Linked DNA regions of Oreochromis niloticus. The protein of the gene in region 1 interacts with the protein of each later gene in a pairwise test. Links are inferred from orthologs where the notes say so. Each region holds a gene or a part of one and is shown in the gene's direction. Other genes may lie near its edges. The genes, in order: RNA-binding protein with multiple splicing, heyl, dtx2 and pom121.

Region 1 (7,656 bases):
TTTCAGTAGACTCCTGTTGTGTTTAAATGTGAGACGAGAAGTCTTCGGACATTGTTGAGACCTGAATCTGAGGAAATTCCCCAGCAGGGCTCATTTAAAAGAACTTCAGGGAAGGTGGTGAAATATCAAACCAATATAATAGGTAAGAACTGAGTTATTGGTAGGTGCCTGTTTTTCTTTTCAGGTTCAAACAGAGCTGGGTTAGATGATGTTTATGCTGATCCAACCTTACTGACTCCCGATTGATTGTAGCTTTCAAGTATTAGTTCTGACCTTCTTTCCCCAATTCTTCAACAAGGCAGGGTCCTTTTAAGTGAGATTAATATGCACGTTATTTCTGTTTTTATCAACTCTTAAAGAAACAAAGCTTCTCTGAGCAGCCTGCCTGACATTGTTGCTTTGTGCTAACCCAGCAGCCCCTTAGATAACACAGAGATATCTTCACGTTGGGCTGGACCATGTCAAAGCTTGCTGACATGTTACCCAGGACACCGTGACCAGTCTGTCTCCTGCCGGCTCCTCTTTCTCCCCCCCAACCCCCAGTGTATGTGTGTGTGTGTCTGTCTGTCTGTGTATGTGTGTGTGTGTGTGTGCTTTTATTGTGGTGGGCACCCTCCCTCTCCGAGCATCAGACCACACAGCTCAGCCCTGAGACCTGTCAAACACAGCTGGGACATCTCCCCCACCCGGCTCTCTCCGTCACCCCGCCTCAACTCCTATCCCATCCTCTCCTCCGCCTTCCTACCTCTCCTCCCCCTCCTTGCTCCCCAGACTCAGGCTGGAAGCTTTGATACAGGGGTGTCGAGAAGCAAAGGGGAACATTTCCATTTTTATCTGCTTCGAAGGCTCCGAGACCCTCCTCCCTCTCCCATCAGCCGCTTCTCATCAGCATAAAAAGACTCTGCCGTGTCCCTTCTTCGGCGCGCACGCTTCAGACGCGGCGTAATTGATACAGACGTGATCAGGGAGGGGAAAGAGCAGGAATCTGTACGACCCATCCACGACGACTGCTTTTTCCTTCTTTTGTTGCTTTTGAGGTGCAAGTTCAGCAAAAAAAGACAGACTCTCTCTCTTTTCTGCGCAGGCTGTCATAAAAAAGCGAGCTCCTGTCCTGTGCAATAAGTGTCACGCAACATATAGTCAAAGTCCCCACGACGGAGCTGCTGTCAGCTCCTGAACTTTTCACGGCAGAATACAAAGTGAGGCAGTTGCTCAAAATAAATGTTTTGAAACGGTAAAAACAATTCGAGGCTGCCTTGTCACCTGATCGCCGCTTTTAAGGCTGTTCTGCAGCCCTCACCGTAGACAACAGCAGGCAACGCCAATGACATTTTTAGTATTTTAACTTTTAGTATTTCTCCTGTTGTTGTTGTTGCAACATTATTTCCACACCTCCAGGATTTAGCTGTTTTTTTTTTCACCCCTGCACTCTGAGGTCATAGACGGTGAGCTCACTATGAAGTGGCGCAACTAATCACGCCCCAATCTTGAGCATTTTACAGGTGTTATCTCCAGTTCCTCTTTTGTTTTCAACCTGGCCTACTCACTGTAAATCCACACGGAGACGGGTGAGAAGAACCGTTCGGCTGAAACGGCAGAACCCCTCCGAGGCCTTGAACTGATGAACTGAGAGGCACGTGAAATTTATTAAGCAGTCAGGTTGATAATTGTCTGCATCTCCTGCTTTGCAGGCGATGAATTTTGCTGACTTCTGTGTTTCAAGAGGGGAGAAATAGTCCTGAGTGTGCATGCCTTTCCGGGTGACAAGTCATCTTATGCTCACCATGTTTGCAGTGCAACTTGGTTAATCAGTCAACAGGTTATAGACATACAGTAAAATCAGTGACTTTAAAACTGTGGTGCATAAAACTATATAGCAACATGAAGACACATATGAAAAATATACTACGAGTCATAGCTGCTTACTGATCAGGGTAGGCTGTTTCAGGGTTATACAAGGCTGCTCATGTGTCGAGCACCAATATATAAAGACTCATTATAAAAGACTGTGACGGGACACAATCTCACATGCCTCGTGTACTTTCAGTGCCACAGCAGTGTGCTGATTTGCGCTGTTTCTACGGTGCAATAAAGTTTTGGCTTTGAGCCTTGGTGATTCATTTTTATATGAGGAGTTTTCATCTTGTCCAAGTGCTGTTGTTCGCTCCTACGGTCCAAAGGCGTGCAGGTCAGGCAGTCCTAAAAGCACCTGTAGGTGTGAATGTGAGTGAGACTTAAAAGTGTTGGAGTGACTAGAACATCTCACATGTATAGGTGTGTGTGTGTTTTTGTTTTGTTTTGTTTTTTTTGGGGGGGGGGATGACAATAAACATGCATGTAGTAGTACTGCTGAGTGCTGAATCATTTCAACTGAATTTAATCCCCAACAGCAACCTTGAAGTCAAATTTTAAAGTCATAAAATGCAGTTCCTCAAATGTCCACTTGAGGCTGATTTCAAACGTGAGTCAGTCCCTGCAGACTTCTAGTCAAATGGCCCAAATTTACTACAAAACTAAACACATGGTTAAAAAAAAAAGGTATTTTCCCTACATAACAACTGTACAGAGGCTGAATTTTGTAAATAAATTTGATCAGTTTACATTGTTTTAAAGCTTACAGTTAAGTGTGTGGTTGACTAGGCTGCTCAGTGTCAGCCAGGCTCCATGAACTCCTTTTGACCTTTTGTCCATGTTTGTAGTGTTGGAGCCTTTGGAGCATTTTTTATACATTTATCCAGTGATAGTGTGGATTCTCTTAATTGTACATCCTTTTGTATGTTATTTTTGGACGATCGTGGCTCATGAGTTGGCAGTTCGTCTTGTAATCAGAAGGTTGCCGGGTCAAGCCCCGGCTCGGACAGTCTCGGTCGTTGTGTCCTTGGGCAAGACACTTCACCTACCGCCTACTGGTGATGGCCAGAGGGGCGGATGGCGCAATATGGCAGCCTCGCTTCTGTCAGTCTGCCCCAGGGCAGCTGTGGCTACAACTGTAGCTTGCCTCCACCAGTGTGTGAATGTGAGAGTGAATGAATAGTGGAATTGTAAAGTGCTTTGAGGGTCTCGAAAAGCGCTATATAAATGCAATCCATTATTATTATTATTAATTAACAAGTACCTGTGTCTATGTGATTAATCCCTTACAACCTGTGGCTGCACCCATAAACATGAATGTAGCTTCTGTCTCTGTAAAATAAAGCCAGTGCAGAAGTGCCTTAAATCTGCTTTCTATTGAACGCAACCAGGTGGTGATAGCTGTGGTTGCAAAAAGACTTTGTGTCATACACACGTTTATCAGAAAACAGCTTTCTGCTCTGATCTCTGGGTTTATAGGCTAAGTCACCCGTTTCACTTCATATTGAATAATAAATAAAGTCTATTTTGTAAACCTTGTTCATGTTTTGCAGTGGAGGATTATGCTAATTGGCTAATGGCTTGTGAGTAAATAGTTATGATTCCAATAAGCAAGCGGTTTCACGGCCAGACCCGCCCCTCCTCGTCACATCTGTTTTGATTTTTTTTTTTTTATCGTTACTTCGACGCTTCAGACTTGTGGGTGACGCCACAATAGTGATGTCCATCTTTTACCCTGTCTATGCACCTTGCTAACCAAACTAACTAGACTCAGCTGCTAAAGTAGAACAGCTAATGTAGTCACTTCTGGTTCCAAATGAACCAGATGGCAACAGCTGTAATACTAAAGTTGACGCTTCATAACAAAAGCCGACAAACCAAAGTGTGATGTCACGGTGTTTGGTGCCATCTTTTATATACAGTCTGTGATTTTCCCAGATACTTTGAGTATGGTTTTAACTTTGTGTCCATACTTTGTTTATTAATGTTATCAAGAGGTCTAATAAACGTCTGGACATTACCAAACAAAAAGAAAATACACTTTTGAAAAAAATATTCTTCATACACAGTGTGAGGAAAATCAGTTTTTCAATTTAGATTCATTTGAAGGGACTGGTTTTACTTTTTCCAGGCTTTATGCTTAATTGGTTTCATATAAAATATCAAAACTTAAACATAGAGCAGATGTGTCAAACATAAAGCCCAGGGGCCAGAATAGATCCACCAAAGACTCCAATCTGGTTCAAGTTCCTGTGTTTATTTCACAGTAAAAATAAATAAATAAATAAATAAATAAATAAATAAATACAAACATAACCACATTTCTTGCACAGCTAACGGAACCTTTTGTGTAATTTTATTTTTTGCACATATTTCTTTTATTAAAACAAAAATGGGATTAAATGTGTGGTTAAACTTCTATAGGCTGACAGAAAGAGGAGTTTTAGATCAAAGTTAGCTGTACGTGGCCCACAATGTAAAATGAGTTTGACACCTCTGACATTGAGTAAATATATAAGAAACACACATTATAAGAACATGCACGTGTAATAAAGGCCCAGAGCAGCTGATGAAAAACAAAACAAAGAATTAAACCAGGACATATGAGAATATGTGCTGTGGTGACAGAAATGACATTCATGTGGTCCAAAGGGTGATTGGTACTGATTTTCCACTGAAGCTCTTGCAGCACTTGATAAATCTTGATAAAGCCGAGCAGAGGGTGCATCCCACCCAACCAACCCCAAACCCCTCCCTCCCCTCCGCTCTCCGCCTCCCTCTCTTCCTCCCCTCCCCTGCTGCACGCAGGAGATGGGTAGAGAAGTTTGCTCGCGGCGCGGTCCGGTGAACATTACTGTATTTCATTTGGGGAACAGCAACTGCAAGAGGCTCTGGAAAAATAATACTAATTAAAAAAAGACGAAAAGTAAGGCTTTCCAGGGAATGCCGCGGAATATCCAACTCAACAGCAACATCAGCCGCAGCGAATTATTGTAATTATATATATATGTATATATATAAAAAATTAATGAGGTTTATCTGTCATCATTGATGTGGCCAAATTAGTGGGAAGCTCGGGTCAGTAGGGGGACAGCGGGCTCGCGCGCGGACTGTCGGAGGGGTGCTTTGAATTTGTGGGTCCTGGAGAAGAAGCGCAGAGCGAAACAGATTCAGAGAGAGAGAGCGAGAGAAGAGGAGGAGGGGGAAACAAGGAAAGAAAAGAAGAGCCGTCCGACTGAAAGTGAGAAAGAGTCCCGCTCAGAATGAATAACAACAAACCCGAGAAAGAAAACGAGCCGAGTGAATTCACCAACCACGAGGAGGAGGTACGTATGCGAGCCCGAGGTGCTCGAGCGTCTGTCTGTGATACTGTAGGTGGCTCCTTGACCCGTAATGACATCCTTAATAAAAACCGAGTCATGCTAACAGCGACTGCTTCTTTTCCTCCACTCCTGTATTCATTAAGGTGTAGCTCTTATGCTGGTTTGTTTGTTTTCTGTGCCGTAATCTGGTTTTACCTCATAAAAGTTTCCAGTATTGCTGTTTACATTATTAGACCGACTGTATGGTTCGCTCATAACACCATCTATCACCGGTTTCCTGCAGGTAATGCGCTGTTATTGCACTGAATTCTTCACCCGTCTTCACTTTTACGTTTCTCCTCTACTTTTCTTTAAATTGTACTGTAGACTTGTTGAAGTTAGCCGTCATTTTTTTTTTTTTTTAAAAACAGCAGCAAGAACAGGGAAGGACATGAAGCACTGATGAATCACTAACTAGCAAGTCTCGAATAACTTTGAAGTCAGGACTGTGTTTTTCCTGGCTGTGCTACGGCATTGCTAGCTGTGTCTTACTGTACAATAAAGCCAGACTTCACACAGCACTGGAAAGCAGTAGTAAAGGGAATTCAGAGCCAGGGCGAATTAGTTTTCACTGAAGCTGAGGGAGCAATTGAAGTTCAAACAACTGCTGCTGCAACATGTAGGTAATAACGGGTTGTAACAGAGAGCCCACTGCATTACAGTGGAGCAAGAATAGCCTCTTCTAATTACATCTAAACACAAACAGAATGGCTTTGTTTACCCCCCCCCCAAAAAAAAGAAAAACATTTGGTGGAAATCCATTTAACATGCTCTCAAAGTATGTTTCCTCTCTATCGTGCAGGATAATAGCCTCATTTCTTCCCTTTCTCCTCTGTAAACATTGCACAATCCGGCCCAACAATATCTCCTCTTTGGTAAATAAGCCTGTAACGGCTCTCTTTGCATGAGGCGATTTTCTTTGGCTCGGATGAATCTCTCTTCAAATGACAGATTTGTTATTTCAGAGCTCCGCACATCCGCAGTCGAGTGATGTAAGGAAGGTGTATCAGATTATATCAGATATTTCTCTTGGAGCAATTTGATTAGGTCTCAGTGTAGCGTTGGACACTTTGTAACTGAATAGTGAGACATAGCCAGCCTTATGTAATACCATATTTGGTCCACTGTTGAGGTTACTATGGATGCGGGGGAACTGCTGTAGCACCACACAGATGAGGTAAAGACCAAAGAGCTGATTTCTTGAGGTTAGGGAGTTTGAGTTTAAAGCTTTCGTCACCTTCTCCTTTTACTAACAATACGTCAGTCAAGCAGAGCCCTGTAACCAGTACATGGCCCTGAGGGTATTCTTGTTATTGAATCGAATAAAAAGCTACTAGTCCGTGTAAAACGAACATATTCAACTAAAGAAAGATGACTACTCAGCACCAAAAGATGTCTGTGTATGACCATCTAACTGTACAAACTGCAAACATGTCGAATTAAAAGTCTCATAAGTGGCAAATACTCACATTTCAGAAGCTGACGCCAGAGAAATACTTGAGTTTTTTTTGTCTAAAGCACCTTCTTAAGTACCTGCCTGTTTTGAATTAGGTTGAGCACAACACAGCTATAATTAAACCAAAATAGGGCAAAACACAAGAAAAACACTTGATCTGTTACTATCAACACAAGCTTTTTGTAGCTGAAATGTTTAGTTGCTCATTTTTATGAGCGACTCATCATATTAAAGCACGAAAGCTTTCAAAATGTGAGGATTGGCTTCTTTTCTTTTTGCTTTCGTGACACTCGGTTACAGTCACGCCGCTTACGGATCATTTTGTAAGACTGAACAGTTAAACGAGGGCGTCAGATTATTCAAAGGTCTCAACTGCAGGATAGGTCTACCAGGAAATAAGCCATGTTAGCTGTAGTTTAACAAAGACACAAGGCTTCAAACTTCTACCCAGCTATTAAAAATTCTGTGATGTCCATAAGCTCAGAGATGAGACGCAGGTTGTGTAAAAGGCAGGCAGACAGAGACGTAAAAAGGAGACTAATGGCCAGAGAGATCTAATGGTTTTGGAAATGTTTGGAAGCCATCCAGACCGGCAGGGACTTAAATTTACTTGGGTGAATTAACGTTAAGGTCAGACAGCACCACTTTATCTTTTGTGGAACGGTGTGTGTTGCATGCAGAGGAGCAGGGAGTGTGTCACACTCGCGGATACATATTCAAGCTTTTTGCAGGCCCGTGCGGATGTACTCAGACTAATTCACGCTTTGGCTTAGTTTGACTTGTTTTGGGGTTTTTTTTGCATGAAAGTCTGGTCTGCACAAATGTCCCTTCACCTGATGCAGAAAGCATAAAAATGCCAGCAACAACACCACAGAGGTAACCATAAACTATAACCTCAAGAGAGCCAAAGTTTAACAGCCTTGCTGGTATGACTCTCACATGCTGAGCAGCAGCAGCTCTCCGCCCCTCCTCTTGGGCAGTGTAGTA
Region 2 (7,008 bases), on another chromosome or scaffold:
TTTTTAATGAAAAAAACGGAACAAAACCTAAAACTAGCCAATGAGATCATGCTGTAGAAAAGGGTTTACTGAGATCAATCAAGTGAGAAATTAGGTCAGATTTTCGCCCTTTTTTAATCAGAGAAGTCACCCCTGCTGGGCTGCATAACTTGTGATTTAAGACACTTCACATTTCTTCAACACAAATTTTACATGTGTTATCAAATCACATCATTGTAGCACACTATTATAGCAGTCAGTATCAGTATAGCGTTATCAGAGTCATTTCGGTAAAAACATTTTTGCACATCTGAGTTTTTCCTTTGTTCTCTTGTTGTTTCTTTTCCAGTTTCTGTGAATAAGATATTATATTATTATTATTATATTGTGAATGTGAAGGTGTCGTTTTTTAGCTTGTTCTATGTGCAAGATTTACATTTTATTATTGATATTTTACTGCTACTTTTTAACATAATAACACAGCACTCTTTTGATTTGCATATAGTTAATCAAATTTTCTAGAAAATCTGCATCGTTTCCAAATATTCACTTTTATTAGAAATTTAAAAAACGCATTAAAAAGACCCTCCTTCAGATTTATGATACATAGGATTTTACTTTCGTGTTTCTTTTTTCAGCAGGTTTAACTCCCTTTGTTTGTTTTCAAACTGGTGCATGAACATTACATTTGACCAAAAAAAAAATAGAAAAAGTGAAATAAAGTTGGTGTACTGTTACTGAAACACAGTACAGTACAAATAATGAAAGCAAACCATGCAGTGAGACGTATCAGTGATCAGTTATTTAGTTTGACTGAAAAATGTGGAGAAAAAAGTCACAAACAAAATACCCCGCTGAGCTTGTTCCATCTCACAGAGTTTCAAACAATAGCAGCAGTCATGCATCAGAAAGAATAATTGCAGCTGAGTGTTTGTGCCTTATAAATTGTGGGTATGTGCTGTCCACATTCGTGTGAGGGAGTTTCGTGTGTGCGCTAGCTTGTATGAATCAGTGCGTGGCCTCCCGCGCGTGTGTGCGTGCGTGCGCGTCCTCATGCCTTCACACGTTCATATTTGAGTTGCGCATGTGTGCGTGTGTATGCAAATTGTAAAAGTATGAGCTTGTTAATTTCAATAAGGGACTTTGCCTTGTTGTGGTTTGGTGGGATGGGAGGGAGAGTACTTGAAGTGGCCGACCAAGATCGCCAGAAATCTCCCAGAATTCCATCCCACCATCCAGTGCCAGCTCTCTTCTCCCTCTTATGTTGGCTTTACCGTTCCTTCGCACACGCCCCCACCATGAAACCATTTTCATAATTAATATATCTATTTATTCATTTATCTCCTTAATTACTTTTCATTCCTTTTCCCTTTTTTTCTTTTCTTGTAACTTGCCTCATCTTGGAACAGCTGGGCGCTGTGGCCGGCAAACCAGAGCGATCTCTCTCTCTTGTTTTTAAAGAGACGTGCGATACAAATGGGAAAGTAAATCTTTGAAGAGAAGTAAAGAGTGGGTGATAAAAATAGCAATACAGAACACTGAAGGCTGACTTCATAGATGTCTTTTTATCTTTTTTTCCCCCAGTTTTCTGATGCCGAAATGAAATCCAGATCTGAATTAGAGAATGATTAGTAATGAAAGGATATGTGAACTGGGTAGTGGGGGTTGTTTGCTGGGAGAGAAAAGGGATTTCTCCACTCTGTTAGTCCTGACTCATATCCACCACACTGCGAGCCCCCTGGTGATGGTCACACTGATTACTCACACTTGGCTATTGCAAACACACTCACTTGCACATGTTTTAAGTTATTCCACTACTTTACACATGTGACATGACAAAAATGATTGTAGGAAAGGCTCAATTGTCGTCACGCTGAGCAAGATGAAGCGGAAAAGAACATAAAGACTACTGGAAATCCATTTAAAAGATGACCAAATTAAAGTTTTAAAAACGACTTCACTTGCCCAACTAGTATACACAAAGACCTCGCACTCATTCATTGTCGCAGCCTATGTTTAAACTAACACACCCTTCCAGTCTGCCAGGCAGGAAGAGACACCCTCAGCTGGGCATTGTGTGCAAGAGGGCATGCCACTTGGCCTCTCGCAGTCTTTCACATGCACATATGCACACACTGCTGGGTCACTTAGGCATCGTTCCTAACAACCGGCGCCTGGGTCTCATGTTTCCATGGCAATCTGCACCAGCAATCTTCCCACGGTGGCAGCGGAAACAAGTGCCGCGAGTGAGCTCTGTGTGTGTGAGTGTGAGCGTATAGAGAGTGCTATCTTGTCCAGTGAAGAGCCCAGATGTTCAGACACTCAGTGGGGTGACTTCTCTCCTTGACCCTTCAGTACCTGCCCTCATCTCTGCACACACAGGCTGAATAAAAACAATTTGAATAAGCTGGGTTTATCTGTGCCTCACTTCTTATCTTGAAATACTTGAAGCTGTAATTTCAAAAAGATAGTGACAAATCTACATCTTGACATAGAATGCATATGAAAGACAGATGTATAATTAGTTGGATATTTAAATATATAAATGGTTACATATCCCACTATTTCTGGATAACTGTTTTAAAGCCTGCTTATGCTGTTCGACTGTTGCCAGAACCGACCATATTTAGATGAGAAAGTGGAATGCTGAGTCCTCAGATAACGCTAGCAGCATCAGTTGGCAAGATGCATGTTTTAGACCCACACATCTATGTGTATAGTTTACATATACTGTATATAAACGATGGGCATAGCCTCTGGGTTCTGCAGTCTCTTTAATGGCCAGCAGGGGCAACTCTTTAAAAAGACTTCCAGTTACTCATAAATAGTTTCCTGGTAATTTTTGGGGTCCGTTGCTAGTTTCAAGTCAATGAAGGAAACATTACATTTTTGGCATAAATTACTGTCTTTATTAGAGTAAAAAAGGAAGACGGTACTCTGGTACTCTGACCCTTGATTTCACAGTCAGATCCACCCTGTAGCAGTGAACTGATAGCTGATGTCACAGTGGTTATGTCTATCTTTTTTATACAGTCTATAGTGGATTTCCAAATTGAAAAAATCAACACCAATTTCACTCACTCTCTGAAATTTACAGCTTGTTACCAAAACCCTGTCCCACCAGAGACTTTCTGTAGCTTACTATTGCTTATTTTTATCCTTTCATAGCAATTTTTCATAAATGTCAACTGTCAGTGTTAACTGATAGCTTAGCACTTTGCTGTGTGCTCAGTTCTGGCTCCATAAAACAACCACAAAGCGGTATGTCCATCTCTTCTACACAGTGATATGATTTTTTTTGAAGTTTTCTAAAACTTTGTTGACATTATTTGTCGCACTGGAGATTGATGCTTGATAAAAGCTGTATTTTCAAAGATGATCATAAATTATTGGCATTGCTTGTAAATCCCTACGGTATACTCTTATAATAATTTAGGTACTTTAGGTGTCACCTTTTAAAACAAGAGCAAAAAACAGCCAACACTGTTAGTTAAACTGCTGACACAGCTTAAATATTCTCACAAAATCCTTCTATACAAGTACAAAACTTTTCTATTTGTATCATTTGTGGTGCTCAAAGGTCGGCGCTGGCTGCGTTTCATCTCTGCAGGCGTGTTTTCACTCTGTGCCGTTTCCCTCTCACAAAACAAAATTGCTCAAGAACTCGAGTCAAAAGTGACTCGTGAGACTGTGCGAGTATCAGATGTTGTGTATCGCCTCTGTATGATGGAGTGCTTTCACAGTTCATAATTCCCACACTCCTCACCTCGCTCTCCCTCCTGCTGCCATTGTTCTATGGAACAGCATAATTAAAGGAGCAGAATGAGAAAGAAAGCAGGACAGAAGGAAGGAAGGAAGGAAAGCAGGATGAAATTGGAGGCTAATTGACAGAGGATGATTGAGCAAAGGGGTGGAAAGATGAGGCCGAGGGGGGTGCGGGAGAGAGGGAAGGAGGGTGAAAAGCCAGAGAAGGGCAGATTAAAGGGAGAGAGGAGGGACACGGAAAGGAGGCGGGGGAGCCAAAACTGGCAACCCTGCCCAAACTGCCAAAGTCCTGTTTTGTCATTGGGTGGCTGTGACAGAGCGAGCGAGCCAAGAGAGAAATAACAGAGAAAGAGAGAGAGAGACTATGATTGGATGACAGTGATAGAGTAAAAGACTAAAGCAGCTTGTGAATTTTCTTAGTTGTCATGGGCCCTTGGGGGTTGATCAAGTGGCACCACTGACTCACAGAGAGAGAGAGAAAAAAAGAAGACGCATGAAGAACCGACGACAGCGAAAACAACAAACACGAGTGACAAGAAGTAACTAAGGACAACAGAGCTCTTATAAGTAACTGTGCAAGAGAAGCAGAGAGTGAGGGGCACGCAGGGTGAGTGCTTCATCCAGAGGGAGACTTCTACAAGCAGCAGAGACAGGAACCAACGAGATCATCCAGCCAGACCTGTCAGTCTCCTCGTCCTTCTGTCATCAGACGTCATCGCTCCAGCCAGTGAGGAAGGGGCAGAGAAATGAAGAGACCTCACGATTACAGCTCCCCGGACTCGGACACCGACGAGTTCATTGACGTGGGCCAAGAAGATAGCTACTGGTGAGCCTCCTTCAGTTACACCTGAGATTGTAACACGTTCCCTCCAATCATGTTTGAAAAGAAAATTACATGGCACGCGGCTGTATTTAGCAGACAAAGTTAAAGACAAATTTGCCCCGAGCATGTTTTCCAGTCTGCTGCGCAGTAACGAGTTTAAAAGACTGTGGGAAAAGTTTGAAGTCCCAGAAGGTTGTGTTTATAAAGCAATTACAGCAAAATAGAACTTCTTATTATTTAAAGATTCCTGCATTCAGGTGCAAAGGTTTTTATTTTTTTAAAGTCTTGACACGGTTTAATTTGTATGTTATAAATCTTTAAGCAAATTTAAAAACCGCTTCAGTGATGTCAGTGTAAAAACTGACGTGTCAACTAAGTTTGAGGCTCAAGTCAGCGAATTTCTCTTGTTCAGAAAAGCAGATATATTACAGATTTATGTTAGATCGATAGGTAAGATATACAGTGTTCACTTTCTGTGTAAAACAGAGGCTTTACAGCAGTTGTTGCACATGCAAGTGCAGGGGTTAGTCGAAAAAGCTGCATGCGTGACATCCATGTAAAACAAAAAAGGCCTGTCAACGCTGCAGTGTCAACACAGGAGATGAAAACATGAGCAGGAAGTCATTCACTCAGGAATATTAATTTATATATGTATGTATATTTATAACAAATTAATTGATTTGAACCACAGTGAATGATTATAGCATGACGTCTTAAAATTAAATGTCTGCAGTTGATGTAGAAAATTTCTTCACATGAGAAACACAAGTGAAAGCTCATGAGTTGCTTTTTAATAAACAACCCTGAAATAGTTTTAATATTTTACGTCACATTAAATATGAAAAAAGTGCATTTTCCCACATGAGTTTAGTTTTATTATTCCATGCAAACAGTGTGTTATTTAATTAGCAACTTTATGAAAGATCTCCTCGTCTGTGTCAGACACACATTTCTGCTGCATTTCCAAGACTGCATTTTCAGGCATAGAAAAACTGCTTTTTCACAAACAAATGAGTTTTTCTCAGCTTTTATTGTAAAGTTATAATCCCAACACTGAAATCTTGCTTTTGCACTGGAAAAATCCGATAAAAAATGTGAACTACACAGTTATAACGGCTGGTTAAATGCTAAAATACTTCTGGAAGAGGAAAAAAAAAACTTCTAACCTTTGAATGCAAACGCGGCCTGCAGTGCCAAGGTGATTAAGCGCAGTCCACTGCATGTAACTTGTTCCATTGTTGTGGAAAATGCCCGATAAACAGTAAAATTACTCTGAACGCTGCACACTCTATTTTAAAGTCATTAAAGCGTTTTGCTTTTTAGATAAATTAGTCAAATTCCTTGACTTAGCATTAAAAGACATTTGGATTCAAAGCGCCAGTCATTAAAGTGTATTTGTAACAGTATACAAAAACTCATTCCCAGCAGTGCTGCTTACATCACAGGCGCTGAGCGAGCCAGTAACGCTAAAGACGGTTTAGATAAATTAAATTGCCATGTGACATGCAAACAGAAGACAGCGCTGCCTTTTCATGTCAACCCCATCAAAGATAAACCTAAACAAAAACACACAGCTAAACTGGCAGCCCTCATGTTAAAATCTAATAGAAACGCAATAAGTCTCTAGCGGGCCAGTTTGGAGGGAACTGTGAGGCTCGGAGTCTCTTTCAGGCCTGTAAGATGAGAGTTCACAAACAAACACAATCCATATTGGATGACTGTACTCGGAGGAGCTCATGCTCCCATTGCAGCGTGCTGGAGCCCCATGTGAGCGCAAGCATCGCCTCGAGGCTATATAATCATCTTTTCTAAAAGTGCTTTTGCTCAGACGGAAAGGAGAACAGCATGTCATTTTACTGAGACTAATGTCCAGAAATGCATTAAAGTGAAAACAATCTCATCTTCCCTCCTCTCCCGGGCACTGCTCTGCTTTTCTGTGCCCAAAAAGCAAATTAGATTGAAGGGAGTTGGTGTGCCATCCTGCTTCTGTGTCATATTAAGGAGGGTAATAATAACAATATGCAGGAAAATCAAATGATTTTTTTCTTCTTTTTTTTTTCCTCTGTGTCCCTTCTTACTCATCTCGCTCTCTTGCTTCAACACTATCTTTGTGGTACAGCCCAGTCACCGGGTCCATGTCTCCAGGCAGCGCCTCGCAGATTCTGGCTCGAAAGAAGAGAAGAGGGGTGAGTGGATTAGATCATTGGATGTTAATCGGTTCTGTCTCTTTTTCAGTTGGGTCTGCAACTCAGTTTGCTTTTTTTTTTCTTATGCAGATCATAGAGAAGAGGCGCAGAGACCGCATCAACCACAGCTTGTCAGAGCTCCGTAGACTGGTGCCCAGCGCTTTTGAAAAACAGGTACGGAATGAATTTGAGATGATGATATTTTTTGTCATAGTTAGACAATAAAGCTAAAAGATTAAGCAGCTTTCTGTCATT
Region 3 (7,863 bases), on another chromosome or scaffold:
TAAAACTAACAAAACAAACCAGAAACGAAGATGAAGGGAGGTCCGGGGAAATACACATGGAGAGACGCAGGGAGACTGAGGGGAAACAACACAGATGAACCAGCAATGAGGACGAGGTAACACACACTATAAATACACACGCCAGGAATCAGGGGAAGGGAAACAGGAGGGGAACACACCTGGAAGACATCACAACTGACGAGGCAGGGGAAAACGTAAACAGAACACACTGACATAAGACACAGACCTTCACAATAAAACAGGAACTACACATACAAGGACACACACGGGCCGAACAGAGTAAACACTAAACAGAGGAAGAACAGAACCAAAATCACCATAATAGAAAACACAAAACGCTGGGTCAAAAGGACCCAGGATCATGACACATTTTCTCAGTTTAAACATTTGATTTCTGTGGGGTTTTTTGTTCCATTGTGAACAAAGTGTGAGTTAATCAGATTTTCAACCCATTGCATTCATTTATTCATTTATTGTATCATATTTAATTTTTTTCACACAGTGTCCCAGTTTTCTCAGAACTGGGTTTGTTTGTATATCAAATGAGGCAGCATACATACTGCCACAACAAATACCATGTAAAAAGTGTGCATAGTTGTATCTGTTCACAGGATTTTTAAACAGTATTTAAAGATGTAGAAATGGCTAATGCAACATTTCCCATACCCAACAGATCAGTTTAAGCTTGCAAGTTTGTGATCAAATCCTTCATGGATCACAGCCCTCTGCTATTTAATTCTCCCTTACAACTGACTATTTGATCACTTATCTTCTTGTAAAGGTCTGCAAGACATCTGGACCAAAATCCATTTGTAAGCTGCTTATTAGCATTTACAACTGCAGACTTGATGAATTATGAAATCCATGATTTATTAACACTGATAAGTGTAGGTGACTATTTCATAGTGGCTGAGTAAAAATCAAGACTCCAAGATCCTTTCTTAATATCAAATGTACAAGCACAAACCTGATAAATATGAAACATCAGCCATTATTTAATAACCTTTATGTATATGTTTAATGTAATAAATGCTCACACCATGATAATGCTAAAGCTGTAAATCCTATAAGCAAGTTTGCATACAGAATGGCACCAATGCAGCTGTTAATGGCATTTCCAAATTGCATGTTGTCAAAGTAGACTACAGAGCGATGGGTCTAAATGTTGTGCTTTTAATAATTGCATTATTTTGCATGAATATTTCCAGCATTTTTGTATCCTCATTATCTTGTAAGTACTGGAGATGCTTACACTGCATTACATAATCAAAATGTCACGATCTAAAGCAAGAATCTAGTTTTTGTTTAGCACATTTTTTAAAATTTTGTCTGCTATACCTTATGCAACTACTGTTTGCTACAGAAAATGTCTAATCCCCGCTGAATGGCAGTGGTAGCTGGAGGTTGCTAGTGCTCGCTGGGTGAAAGTGGTTGCAAAGAAGGTGCTGCATCAAAAATCTTCGGTTGCTAGCTGATTGTATGGTTGCCTCAAATACTATATAATTGGTAGCAAAGTGGTAGTACAACTTGAAAAAGTGTGAAAATCTGTGCCTCGAGGTGCAGCCAACGTGTCTCAAAAGGTGCAACTTCCTTAGCAACGGGTGGTTACCAGATGGTTGCAGACAGGTATCGAGGCCTATCTGATTGGGGCCTTATTCACTCAATCTTACACTGATTGACACACATCCTACATGACATGGTTAACAGTAATTCCAATTCAGTTCAGTTTTATTTATATAGTGCCAAATCACAACAATAGTCGCCTCAAGGTGCTTAATATTGTACAGTGGAGACCCTAAAATATTACAGAGAAACCCCAACAATCAGATGACTCCCTGTGAGGAAGCACTTTGGCAACGGCGGGAAGGAAAAGCTCCCTTTTAACAGGAAGAAACCTCCTGCAGAACCAGGCTCAGGGAGGGGCGGGGCCATCTGCTGTGACTGTTTGGGGCTGAGGGGAGGAAGACAGGAAAAAAGACATGCTGTGGATGAGAGCCTGAGATTAATAATAACTCATAATTAAATGCAGAGTGGTGTATTAACACCATGTGTGGTTTGTGGTCATGTATATTCAAGACCTCAATAACAATTTCTGAGCATCACGAGATATATCATAGTTTCAATAGCAAAACTAATTTAATGTTTGTGAATGTTTTATGTGTTTTCTGATAATTCACTGGAGAAAACTCAAAAAACTAATAATAATAATTTGAAAAGTAGTGTTTGAAAGGTGGTCTTTTTACCTGCATTTTGATAGCAGGTTCATCTTCTAGTCGTGACAAAATCATTTTTAATTGTATTTTTTTAATGATTAAAAATGTTTTTTTAAGTGCAAGACTCTGACCCTGTATCACAGGAAACAGCAGACATGCATCCACATACATATCTGCCAAGCGGGCAGCTTTGTTCATCCTTTCGCCTCTACTTAAAATGTTGTTTGTAATTTGTGTTGTGATGACCGTGATGAAGGCCCCAAGTCAAAACACGTCTGTCAAAGAATTAAATTGTTCTGTATTCTAAAAGTATTGCTGGAGCTTTAAGCTCCTTTGCTCCATTATTCCATTTTCTTAACTTCTCATCCAGCTGAGGGTCACAGGCATGCTGGAGCCCATCCCTGCTGTCACAGGCACAAACTAGTCCGTCACTGTGCCTAAGTTTGCTTTTTAAAAATTTATTTTGCTTATTTACAGAATCACGGTAATGGACTGTGGCTCTCGTTCAACTCTATTTTCTCAGTTTTAAGAAGCGTGTGACCTTCAGCTACAACCAGGATTGTTTAAGTGGGCTGAGAAAGAGAGAAAACCGCCCCTAGAAACCTAATCATAGTGATGCCTGTGGATTATTGCAGGGACACTGCTTCTGTTCCTGTTAAATTTTTAAATGTCATTTCTTATTGCTGCAGGCACCACAAACAAAGTTCCAGTTACCTTCATGAGGAAGAAGGCAAAAAATCTCAAATGCATATTTCACAACTTCAGCTAATAAAACCAAAACTGTGTGGACAGATAGAAACTGTTTTTTATAAATCTATGTCATACGGGCATAAGGACTGCAAATCTTCCTTGAGATCATTTCAGTGTTTCTGTTTTCTTGTTGCACGAAAGACAAAGACAAAAAATAATAAGAACATCAGATGCAATAAATTTATTTTACACTGATAAATCTGAAAACATTTAAACTGCAGGACTTTAAGAGCAGACCTCGGGAAAAGATGACTCAAAGCAATGTTCTCACTGCTAAATCATTTGACTCCGTCTTCAAACCAAATAATGGCTGCTTGCATCATTTTTTACTGTCATTTTTTTGTGCGTGCGTGTGGAGACAATGTGTTCTAGTTACATTCGAAAAACCACAGATGAATGGTTTTATTTTTTATATTGAAACATCAGATCCTCGTCTTTATTAGTTATTATTATTACATTTGTCACTTTGAAACTACTTGGCATGGACTTGGCTATTGATTATGTGTCACTTTATGGGCTAAGGGGAAAGCTCAAATCCCATTTGGCCACTACTTTAATCAATGTTCACACTGGTGTCAGAACTGTCTAGTTCTATTATCACGTAGCCGAATTTAATGAACACCATCCTTACAAACTAGATCCAGTAATAATCTAGTTTGTGTGGCAGATGGATCACAAAGCCATTTATCGCCATCTTTAGTCTTATACCTGTGCTAGCACTGGAATTTTGGGCAGCATTCAGTTTAGTGGTGTCTGGTAAATAATTAGTAATTACTCAAGCAACCAGCCTGAGGTTTTAGAAGGCCGTTTGGTAGGTTTTCATATGCAGTTATTTGTGTCATACCCATTTATCTCCAGTTGAGGGCAGAAATACTACTGAGGGGGTTCTAATCTCCTTTGAATACAGAAGCAGGGAAAGAAGAGGGGGATAGTGTGAAAGAAGAAGAATGCAACCTTCATGCGCACCTTGTAAGTGAAAATTTTAGAGGTGAGGAGGTGTGCACAAAAAGCTTTTGTTTTAGTCATCTGCTGTAGTATTGGTCAAAGATGACATGAGAAATGGTGCTCCACCTTAAGAACTACCAACCCCCACCCCCGCAATGCCTTAAATAAATCATCACCTTGCACCACCACTTGTGCCAAGGAATGAAGACTGTCTGCGTGTTATCGGCTGAGATGATAAAGAAAAAAAATCCCAGATCTTTGCGGGCTCCAGATGTCACCTGGAAACATTTTAATCACAATTTTATTTCACAAAAAGACATTAGATGTATTTGATGAGATTTCACTTACACACATACGGGCCCCTTGTTACAAAGAGTGAATATTATTATAATACGGTTATTATAGTTAAACCAAATTAAAAACTGAAATTAGGTGTGAGAGGGGGAAAAAGGTTGAGTTTAAATAAAAGCCTAGACTTTAGAAAAGAAATAATTAAGTGAAGCAATAATTACCTACTTACTAAATTCTTAGTATAAAATAAAAGTTTTGTGATGGGGCATTGGTGCCTGTGTTTATTGATACTGGAATGTCTGCTTGTCTCTGTGTCAAGTATTTTTATCGCTGTATTGTATTTTTGCCCTAAATCTTGCCGCTGACGCATACCACCCATTACATTATAAATAAAAAGTGAATCTAATACTTAACCTAAAGAATTAATGAAAAATACACTAAAACTGAGCATTCTCAAACAATAAAAACAAAACTGAAATGACACGTTTAGCTCCGGAAACCGAATTAAAAACAAAAAATCACAACAAAAAAAGGATATTAAATACGCTCATAGTCTGTGTCACTGTGGTCTAAAATAAATATAGCTTTCAGAAAGGGGAACCAGCGGTTTATGTACGTTTTCTGTTTCAGATTGAGACGAGAGTGGTGATATTACCGACGGTCCCTGAAGGCAGCGGCAGAAGAAGGACGGATTCCTGGCAACGCCGCAACAAAGCTAACGTTAACCATGTACTGCTAAGCCGTGTGAATGCATCAGCTTCGCAAACATGTACTTAGGTGTTTATCTGGGCCGTCTACCAATTGATATCTACCTCATAACTTCCTCAAAGGCGCGTTAACACATTCATAATGGAATTTTTTAACGAGCCAAGCTAGCCCAGCTAGCACACTTTGTCTTCGTCGCAGCCACAATCGGTTGACTAGCTAACCAGAACGAGTTGTTGTTAGCTTAGGGCTAGTTTTGGCGAATATGGCAATTGTGTCTGGGTCCTGTGCCAGGGTAAACGGGTCTAGAAACGGGCCTCCTGTGTCAGCTACACCCTCTGGATCCGTCGGGCAGTCTCAGCCCATGATAGCGGTGTGGGAATGGCAGGATGACCAGGGCTACTGGCGGCCTTACAGCGGCCAGGTGAGCGCCTACATCGAGCGGTGTCTGTCACCGCGGGGCCACAGAGGAGGAGCACCCGGCTCTACGAGCATCTGTCTCGGACAATCAGACCCCAGCCTGTCGCCTTACCTCATTGACATACCAAGCTTGAAGCAGTTTCGACAGGACACAGGTAAACATATCTAACACGTCATGGCATGACCTTTACGTTTATTCCTCGTTAACGGTTTTGCCTCAAACCTCACAGGCCCGGTTGGCTGTAACGTTAGCCGGCTAGCATTAGCTTGCAGGGGCGCTGTTGTTTTGATTGATGTAAGCTGAGAAGTATGCATAAAGTTACAGTTCTTTAGCGAGATTTTTACTGTGAACCTAGCTACAAATCATTGAAATACGTCACAACATTGTGAGATTAACATGTAAAGATGCTTGGAGTGTCTTAAACTGTCATAATTTTGTGTGTGTGTATGTGTGTTTTAAATTGAGTTATAGTCATATATGTAATGTGTCATTAGTTCTGGCATACAAGTGAATGAACAGGGGGCTTTTCGTTTATGTCTTAAAAACAAAACACACACACAACTTTGCAGTTTTCATTCAGTTTATTCACTAAAAATCAATGTGCCTCTTTTATTTTTAGGTAAGACCCGGTCAGTACGCCGGTCTCTGTTTGCCCAGTCCTCCGGCCTTGGTAGTGGTGTTTACTGGGAATGGGCCAATGATGAAGGAGGATGGACCCCATATGAGACTCGAACCTCTATCCTTTTGGAGCACAGCTATCAGGCTCGCCAAGGCACAGCAGACCTGGGCCCGCATGGATACAATTATATAGTGGATCTCACATCTCTGGCGCAGGTTAACAAATCGACGGGTTTCAGACGCCAGGTGCGACGCCAGTGCAACCTCCCCTACCCGCTGGCTTCTTCCGGACCCCCAGCTATCCCCTCGGGCCCCGCCTGCTCCTGCCAGCAGTGTTTAAGCCACAGCAGCACCGGACCCATGCCAAGCCGTTCGCGACATTCCTTCTCATCAGGGAGTCTGAACCGGCCTAGTCTTCAAGGCACAGGAAGGGCTGTGGCGGCTCATCCCACTTCTGTCTACTCCCCGTACCCCAGGAGACCTCTCTCAGTTGGTGGCATGTCCTGGGGCAGCCCCTGGGCTCCACCGACATCTGGCAGCCAACTTTCTGCATCTCTGACCAACTCTACCAGTGCCAATGGGTTAAGGTTGGTATCTGACACCTATCCTATCCTCAATTGTGTGGTTTGGTTAGATGTGCAGGGTTCATGTTACAAGGTCCTCTATCTGCTTTCCTCCTCTTCCTCTTTGTCTTTCCTGCCTCTGTCAGTGTTGACCTTTCTTGTAAAACAGGAAAGGCGGAAAAAAAAAAAACAGATCTGTAGCTCCAGTACTTCATTGGTATGTTTGCTTTGGCTCACTTCCTGTGACTCTTGTCTGTGTCATCACTGACCTCCCTTCTTTTTGTTCCAGATAGCAGAGAAAGCTTACTTACAGGACAAATTGCTTAATTCAGTGGTATAATAAATATCTAGTTCACTTGCAGCTTCTCTGGGCTTTAATTTTTTTGCACGCTGAGTTTTAGCCACTAGAAATTAAAACTAGTGTATTAAAAACATGGTTGCTCAGTAGACAAAAGAATTGCCTACATTTTTGCGGTGAATGTTTACATTCACTAAAGCCCACACTTTCACATTTCTCTTTGAGGTGTATGCTTTACAAAGAGAAATGGTTGCCATGTGTTTAATTTAATTCAATTTTTTTAACTCCTGGGTGTGGATGCTAAAGGAGGTGCACCCATGCATGGAAAAAATAATCATTATTGTGTAATAGTACATCATAATACTCCCTTTCAAGTACTTTAATTGCCAAGACTTGTATGACTGAAAAAAATGTTGCAAACTTCCTGTCCATTGAGTCACTCCACCCTTTTGGGTCACGGCTGCCTGTGGTGTTCTCCCTCTTCCCTGCTCCTTGATCCCAGAGCAAGGAGTCTGTGGAGTCCATCCGACCACGGAACCACAGAACAAGGGATTCTCTTAACTTGGCTCACTTTCTGCTACAGTTTGGCAGTCGGCTTCAGCTCTCTTTTGTTCACTGTGTGGCTCTCCTGGGTCACTGTGCCGCCTGGGGCTCGCTTCGCCCCATCTGCGCCAGCAAATTTCCTGGCGGGTGCCCTTGTAACATGAACTGCATGGTCAAAAACATCCGTTAGTCTGGATCCACCATCATCCTCACCTCTATTTTAATTCCTTTGTTATGTTTTTCATTTGAATTGTATTTAAAAGTTTAAGGTCAGTTACTGTATTATGTTTAACTTAATGAACAATTGTATTACTATCTTTATCTTTACAGTTGCGGACATGCTGTCATAGCCCATAATCATTCAAGCAATATGTCTTTCAGACTTCTGTGCACAGAGCCCTTTGGCTACAGAAATAGACCAGTACCACCTCAGCACTGAGTCAGTGTTGCCTTTTTGCAGCCCTTTAACTGGATTTAGTTTAGCGCTCCATCATA
Region 4 (7,879 bases), on another chromosome or scaffold:
CATCTGAAGAAGAGGCTTCTTCTTCAGTCTCCTCAGAGAATGACAGCATCACTACCAGTGATGAGGATTACCATCCAGTGCCCGATTCCTCTTCAGCAAGTGAGAATGATACAGAGACAGCAGTCGAGGCAGAGCGGCTAATGGCAGAGACGGTAGGAAGAAGCGGCAGACGCCGGGGCGCCGGTGGCTGAGTGGATGTCTCGTTCTGGGAATATTGAGTGGTTTCCCACTGCTGAGGAGACCATGCGCTACAATCCAGTACCCACTGGTATCACTCCAGGGCCCACCCTGTATGCAGTTGCCCGCATTAGCACCCTGAGATCTGCATTTGACCTGTTTGTGACAGAAGAGATCATTCAGCTGCTGTGCACCCACACAAACCTGCATGGGAGGCGAAAGTGTGAGGATTGGAGGGATGTGGATGATGTGGAGATGAGAGCGTACATTGGGATTTTGATTCTCGCTGGTGTCTACCGCTCAAGGCATCGCGTGGTTTGTGGGCTGACAAGACCGGACGGGCAGTATTCCGTGCTACAATGCCCCTCTACCGCTACTCCCAGATCAGCACTAACATCCGCTTTGATGACAAGCTCACCCGCCCGGGACGTTTCAGGAACGATAAGCTTGCTGCATTTCGCGTCCTGTGGGAAAAGTGGGTTGCTCGTCTCCCCCTGCTGTTCAATCCAGGAGTTGACGTGTGTGTCGATGAGCAGCTGGTTGGATTCAAAGGTCGATGTGGATTTCGACAGTATATGCCCAAGAAGCCTACAAAATATGGCATTAAAATCTGGGTGACCTGTGATGTGGCAACCTCCTATGCTTGGAAGATGGAAATTTACACAGGAAAATCACCTGGAAGTTCCCGGGAAGTTAATCAGGGAATGAGAGTTGTGCTACAACTGACAGAGGGGCTCCAAGGACACACTGTCACTTGTGACAACTTCTTTACATCATTCAGCTTGGCAGAGGAGCTGCTCAGAAGAAAACTAGCTCTGGTTGGCACAATCAGGAGAAACAAACCAGAGCTCCCTCCCCAGCTTGTTCAGCTGAGACAGAGGAAGATTCTTTCATCTCTCTTTGCCTTCACCAAAACAACCATGGCAGTCTCCTACATGCCCAAGCGAGGGAAGAATGTGCTTCTTTTGAGCACAAAGCATAGGGAACCAGCAGTCAGTGATGGGGAAAAGAAGAAGCCAGCAGCAATCCTTGATTACAATAGGTGTAAAGGTGGAGTGGATAACCTAGACAAGGTTGTTGGCACCTACAGTTGTCGGAGGAAAACCAGTCACTGGCCACTGGCTCTGTTCTACAATCTTCTGGACGTCTCAGCATACAGTGCCTTTGTCCTGTGGAAAGCAGTGCATCCTGAGTGGGAGTCCACCAAGACCCACCAACGAAGGGTGTTCCTGGAGGAGCTGGGCCACATGCTGGTGACTCCAGAAATTGCAAGACGGCCTTGTGCCCCACGCTCAAAAGCAGCCGCTGCTATTGTTGCTGAGATACAGCAGTCAGAATCAGAATCAGAGTATGACCCACAGCCCATCAACAAAATGAGGAAAAGGTGCGAACTGTGTATAAACAGAAGAAGAACGGCAACCACTTGCTCCAGCTGTGGAAAGAGTGTCTGCAAAGATCACTCTGCTGTGGTTTGCGTGTCCTGCCTTCCCTGAGTGCGCGCACACACACACACACACACACACACACACACACACACACACACACACACACAGAAAGAGGATGTATTTTGTACAAACAAGCAATAAAAGGCCGTTTTTGGCATGACTAACAAGGTGGGAGTTTCTTTTATTGGGGTCATTACTCACAGGAATAATACAAAATATTAATATTAATAATTATTATTTTTGTTACTGGCACTGACCTGCAATGATTTAAAAAAAAAAGAAAAGGTTTCGTCATTCAACTGCTGAAAAAATTTGAACTTTATTGCTATTTCCCCCCCAAAAACATAGTAGTAACATATAATTTGACTGGTATTCAAAGGGTATAATTTCTAATTTTGAATTATATTTTGGTTTTCATGACTAGGACTGGTTTTCATTTAAAAATGAAGTTGGTCTAAGTAGAAAAATGTTTTAATATAAATGAATTTTATAGCATTTTGTAAATGTAAACAAGGGGTGGCCATTTTTGGCCACGAACAGTCTGAGAGGGAGTTTTTTTGTTTTTCTGCCACTGCAGAAAAAAACAATGTTGCATAAATGTCATTGATGCTGTTAATTATTGCTATGCATCTAACCTTCATCATGGTTAGCAAATAAATCAGATGGCATGTATTATTTAGAAAAAAAACTGGGATTTTATGATTTTCTCTATTTATGAGTTGTTATGATTATGTGCTCTAACTAGTATTTAAAGGGTTAAATTTCAGAATTTTAATGAAATTGTGATTTTCATGAACAGCCCTGATGCTAATCTAAAAAATCATGTAAAAAAAACTGGACATTTTTCTTAATATATATGAATTTTATAGCATTTTGTAAATGTAAACAAGGGGTGGCCATTTTTGGCCACGAACAGTCTGAGAGGGAGTTTTTATGTTTTTGCTCTCTCTGCACTAAAATAACAATGCATTATAATCAGTGTTGATGTGAATCAATTATATGCCCCAGACTCTATACAAGAAATTTCAGTAGCAATGCAATTATATAAAATTGCGAGATTTGAGGTTGTCATCCAGCTGGTGCAGTGGACAAACAAACTGGTGTTTAAAGGGTTAAAAAATAAAAAAGTAATAATTATTTTATATTTATGGAAAGAACTGAAGTTACTTAAAAGCTTTATGCAGAAAAAATGGCAAAAAACCAAAAATAATAAAAATTACAGACCTAATCTGTAGGTGGCCACTTTTGGCCACGAACAAGCTGAAAGGGTAGTGATTTGATCAGACTCAGAGAGTTAAATTGACTTTCATACCTCTTTTTGTACACCAACTGTGACATTCTCTGAAGTAATGACAATCATATTCATGAATATAAATCTCAGGGAGGCCATAATTTCTGTTGTTTTCCTTGTTGTATGTTTTGACATAATATGGTGTTTGATTTATTTCAAATCAAGAAAAACATTTTATCCTCTTTTTTTGTTCTTCGTCTTTCAGATGTTCCTTTTAGGGGGCACCACAGTGCATCCTCCATCTCACCCTATCCATAGCCTCCTTTTCTGTCACACCAGTCCCTATGCATGAATTTTCTCTGTGCTCTTCCTCATTTTCAGTATCCTTTGTCCAATATATCCACTGTCCCTTCTTCTGCATTTTTCCAAACCATCTCAGACTTGCCTCTAACTTTGTCTCCAAACTGCTTAGCCCCCCTGATATTCTCATTTCTAATCCTGTCATTCTGCTCACTCCCAATGAAAATCTTAACATCTTTAGCTGTTTCTCTTCCAGTTCAGCCTCCTATCTTTTTCTCAGTGATACCAGCTCCAAGCCATATATCATAGCAGGTCTCACTACCATCTTGTAAATCTTACCCTTTACTCCCGCTGCTATCCTTCTGTCACAAATCACCCCTAACAACAGCCTCCACCTATTCTACCTTGCATGCACTCTCTTTTTCACCTTTCTTGTGCCCTGTCCATTGGTTTGGATGGTTAACCCCAGGTATCTGACCTCATCCAGGCATTCTCTGTTAAACAGTCTGGTCAAAAAGTCCATTGCTCGCTCTACTAGACATCTCCATACCTCCACAGGTTGTCATCTGGACCATCTGGTTTTCCACTTTCATCTTCTTCATAGCTGCCCTCAGTTCCTCTTTACTAATGATTCACCAACATTCCTTCATATATCCTGCTCTCACTCTCATTATCTCCATCCCAAAGTCCTCATCGTACTCCTTCCAAGAAAAAACATGTTTAAATAATATCACAAAATAAAAATTAACATTCTGCTAAAAACACTTGTCTGTGGTCTTGTCTAGGTAAATAGAAGAGTAGTATGGCAAATCTAAATTTAAAGGTCCACTGTTGTTTGGTGATTTTTGAACTATGCGCTGTTGGACTCAGGCCGGATTATTTTCCCAGGGAATTTACCCATGTAATCTTGGTGGCTGTTTATGTTCCCCTCTCTTCTAACCCCACTGCTGCATTTGACATTATCCACTCTGCCAAAGCCCGGTTACAGACTCAGCATCTGAATGAGGGCAGATCCAATGAGTTGAATTCGTTTTTAACAGATTCGACACTGCAGTAAATGCTCACCCCCCTACTGACCTACCTGTAGTTAACCTGCAATCCACAGCCACGCCACTCTCTCTCCTTCTCTCTCCATATTGCACCATAAAATCTTATGAAAATCCTGACACCCCTCCCACACCTAGCGCTTTCACTCATGACCAGGTTCAAAGAGAACAGAGAAGACTCCACTCAGGCAAGTCTGCTGGACCAAACAGGGTGAGTCCCCTTGTCCTCAAGGCCTGTGCCCCCAGCTTTGTGGAGTCTTTCATTAACTGTTCATGGTGAATCTGAGCCCGCAGAGGGTCCCAGTGTGGAAGACGTCACAGCGGCCCCCAGGATTACAGGCCTGTGGCACTGACTTCCCACGTCAGACCCTGGAAAGACTCATCCCTGACCAGTCCCAAACTATTATCAGGATCCCCTTCACAAACTGCATGCTGTGTTTACTCCAGTTATCTTTGTCTAATATTAAAATTGAATTGATGATCTGAAACATTTAAGTGTGACGAATATGCAAAAAAATAAAAATAATAATCATACATATGTTTTACACAACAGTTTACATTACATTTGTCCTAGGTTCAGCAAAAGGAAGATTAATTTAATGAGCAGTAACACTGGCGGCGTTTAACAGCCCCACCTCGGTAGATGGCGCTAATGCGCGTGAATACAAATATAAATCCAAGAAGTAATGTCGGAAGAACAGCATGATGGGATATGAGAGTCCTCCGGCGGCGCGTTGCCGCCATGTCTCCTAGAGAAAAACATTTATTGCTTCTCTCTGCTCTAGGCCTAGTTACTCTCGCTTTTTATTATATTCCTACTTTTCTTTATGTGACCTTAATTCTTGCAGTTTGTTGTATTGCCTGTTATTATCATAGCGGAGAACCGCTTCCCGCCAGGTTAGGCCCGAATCCTCGGGGTGGGCTAAACGTTCCGGCCGTAGTGCGGCGCTGGCTGTGGAGCTGGGAGGCGACCGGCGTCTCGGTACCCGCACGGGGGAGAGCGAAGAGCAGCGACAGCAACAGAGCCGAGCTCCGGGAATCAGAAGGACACTTAAGACAAAGACTCGCTGAAAGCGGCGTTTATCGAAAGGAATCCTTATCAAGCGAGTCTTTTCTTTTCAGCCCCCGGGATTTTCTCATGGGGAGTTACATCGGGAAACCGGAGAGCCCAACCGCCGACTCGGGGAGGCGGAGAGCCGTGAGAAATCCCCGAGAGCAGCTCCGGGAAAAGCTAGCCAGACCCAACCATGCCGTCTATACTCCAAACAGAAGGCTTTCATTTGCTGGGTATGTTCAGGCTAAAATCAAATCAATCACATCACGGTTTTACCGGCGTAATACAGCCCGTTCTTTTTGAATGGAGGCGGTTAAGTTGTTGGAATTCAAAAGGCTAAAGGTGCAGCTTGGCGGTTTTTAATGACTAACCTTTGAGCCGTCAGAGCGATCTCTGTAGCTCCACACAGCTATCCAAATGTGCTACACGTTACTGCAACCTTATACGTATATATGTGTACAGGTTAAGTCATGTGCAAAAGTTTCCCATTACAGTAATTTACTACTAATATAGTACCGGCATTTCCAATCTGTGAACAGTTATGATAGAAAACTTGAATTGTCGGCCATATAAATTACTTTGGAGCTGAAAAGCATATTTAGCAGGTTTGCTGTATTGGCAATGTAATAATGTATTTAGAAAGCAAAACAAAGCATTAGACTTTTACCTAATAATGGGATTTATTTCCGCTATCGCCCCAACCATTATAGAGACTGACAAATGGTATCTGACATGAAATATTAGAGACAGGAACAACAGTTCACGTTTTCTGTAATATTAGTGAGTATTATATGTTTGGGTTTTCCCATAAAAATCTATTATGGCCATTTGTGGGATTACAAAAACACAGACGAAAAACAGACTTTAAGACCCTTCATTTTGCCTTGGCCTCTAATTGTTCTGTCCTGCAGGGAGACACTGGGAGCAGCGAGCAGGTTCACCATCACACCCCAGCGCCACTACCCCCTGCAGCAGCCGGGTGTCTCGTCAGTGGGAATCCTTCCTCCCGTCAAATGGGACGGTTTCAGAAAGAAAAACATCCTCAGCCCTCGCAATTCCCCGGCTGCCCTCAGTCCTGTCACAGTGAAGATCGCCAGGCCTGACCACAGCTCCCCCAGGTCTCTGCATGATCTATGCATTACAGTGTTTCAGTTTAGATCATCAGCTTGAATCAGATCTCTTTAAACTCTAACATAACCTGTTTTAAGAGATTAATGTCAAAACCCTTTTGATACAACTTTTGCAATGGCTGTTTACCTTTCTTTTTATCCAACGCTTAGTAAATCCCTGATTTGTGTGTTGTCGGCAGCTCTGACTTTTGTGTTTGATTGCTTTATTTTTTTTCAGCATGGACCATTTGAGTTATGCCGTTCTCCCCAGAGCACCTGCCGATCCGTGCTCCAGAGAGAGTGTCCTCAAGGTGCTGAAGGAAAGCCGCAAGAGAGAAGTGGAGGACGAGGACAGGAGCTTTACAACTGAGCAGAAAAGCAAAAGAAGGTACGAGGCAGCACATGAATGCTGACAAGCTTTATATTTGCCTTTTTATGTAGTTTGGCAACACTTTGTTTTGTCTGATAGCTGTAAGGTTATTATAGTAAACTAAAAGTAGGTATAAAAACATTTAAACTGAAATAAATTTAAAAAATAGACTGGAAAAAAAGAACTTACTGTACTCACACAGCAAACCTAAGACACAAAAAGTATCATGTGTTTTGTTTAAACCTTCTTGGTCTGTAGGTAATACATAGTGTGGTTATTAGCAAGGCTACAGAAAAACTGCCTGTTGATGCTTTCAGTTGTCTCTGTCTCTTAGCTTTACGGACAGCTGCAAACAGAATGGATGAATAGCTTTTTCCTATTAACACCATTTCCCAGTCCATTTGTGGTGCACTTGTAAAGCTCACTCTTCTAATGTAATGTTCCAACAAAGTATACACTCCCACATAAGGCCTTGCATTCTTGTGAATGCATATAACAGCTGCATTATAATGCTGTATTCATTGCTTCCCTTTTTTTTCCCCAATAATTTGAATAGATACAGATCACATGCTAATACAAGATACAAATGTGGACTTAAAGTCTTCTATAAATACATTACCGGAGCTCAAATGCAGTTTTGAGTTACTGAAGGATGGCAAGAAAATTGGAAATATCACTAAAACTTAACACAGCACATTTTACATAGGTTTTCTCTATCTCTATTTTCTCTATTTCTCTATATTTCAAAAATAATAAATGGTTGTTGTTTTTTTTCCATTTTATTTGTTTTAATTTTTTACTTCCTAAGACGTAATGACAGCGGTGGAAGTGCACACTCTGCTTTTGAACCCCTTTTGCCCAATGGTACGCCGTCACAGCTGGTTCCGAAGTAAGTTAAACTTTTCTACTAGTCATGCTGTTAGATCATGTCTTATGAAAACCTGTGGTACAGGGTGAAGTATACTGTGGTGCTACCTGTGCATTAAGAGAAATACTTTCCCTTTCCCAGGCCGGGAAGTCTGAAAAGAGGGATGACCTCAGTGACTGAGGAGTCCATTATGAAGAGGTCTCGGACATCCTCAATCAGCTCTGGCAGTGGAGCTCATGCCCCAAGAGGAACCCCGGGCACCAGGAGAAATGCCATCCA

Evidence for each region.
Region 2: the proteins of RNA-binding protein with multiple splicing (region 1) and heyl interact in binary tests that used the Homo sapiens proteins (3 or more experiments, as listed by UniProt). The two-hybrid records come from large-scale screens. The link is inferred for Oreochromis niloticus from reciprocal best matches to the Homo sapiens genes RBPMS and HEYL.
Region 3: the proteins of RNA-binding protein with multiple splicing (region 1) and dtx2 interact in binary tests that used the Homo sapiens proteins (3 or more experiments, as listed by UniProt). The two-hybrid records come from large-scale screens. The link is inferred for Oreochromis niloticus from reciprocal best matches to the Homo sapiens genes RBPMS and DTX2.
Region 4: the proteins of RNA-binding protein with multiple splicing (region 1) and pom121 interact in binary tests that used the Homo sapiens proteins (3 or more experiments, as listed by UniProt). The two-hybrid records come from large-scale screens. The link is inferred for Oreochromis niloticus from reciprocal best matches to the Homo sapiens genes RBPMS and POM121.

Annotation. Positions count from the first base shown.
Region 1 is NC_031967.2:14,331,531-14,339,186, reverse strand, and holds the start of RNA-binding protein with multiple splicing, read left to right. Parts: upstream 1-4,649; 5' UTR 4,650-5,114; coding exon 5,115-5,177; intron 5,178-7,656.
Region 2 is NC_031985.2:27,787,421-27,794,428, forward strand, and holds the start of heyl (hairy/enhancer-of-split related with YRPW motif-like protein), read left to right. Parts: upstream 1-4,001; 5' UTR 4,002-4,490; coding exon 4,491-4,570; intron 4,571-6,686; coding exon 6,687-6,753; intron 6,754-6,843; coding exon 6,844-6,927; intron 6,928-7,008. UniProt on the Homo sapiens protein: Downstream effector of Notch signaling which may be required for cardiovascular development. Transcriptional repressor which binds preferentially to the canonical E box sequence 5'-CACGTG-3'.
Region 3 is NC_031975.2:27,654,098-27,661,960, forward strand, and holds the start of dtx2 (putative E3 ubiquitin-protein ligase DTX2), read left to right. Parts: upstream 1-4,863; 5' UTR 4,864-5,190; coding exon 5,191-5,500; intron 5,501-5,965; coding exon 5,966-6,551; intron 6,552-7,863. UniProt on the Homo sapiens protein: Regulator of Notch signaling, a signaling pathway involved in cell-cell communications that regulates a broad spectrum of cell-fate determinations.
Region 4 is NC_031975.2:24,313,472-24,321,350, reverse strand, and holds the start of pom121 (nuclear envelope pore membrane protein POM 121), read left to right. Parts: upstream 1-4,876; 5' UTR 4,877-4,911; coding exon 4,912-5,486; intron 5,487-6,164; coding exon 6,165-6,371; intron 6,372-6,600; coding exon 6,601-6,750; intron 6,751-7,540; coding exon 7,541-7,621; intron 7,622-7,741; coding exon 7,742-7,879. UniProt on the Homo sapiens protein: Essential component of the nuclear pore complex (NPC). The repeat-containing domain may be involved in anchoring components of the pore complex to the pore membrane. When overexpressed in cells induces the formation of cytoplasmic annulate lamellae (AL).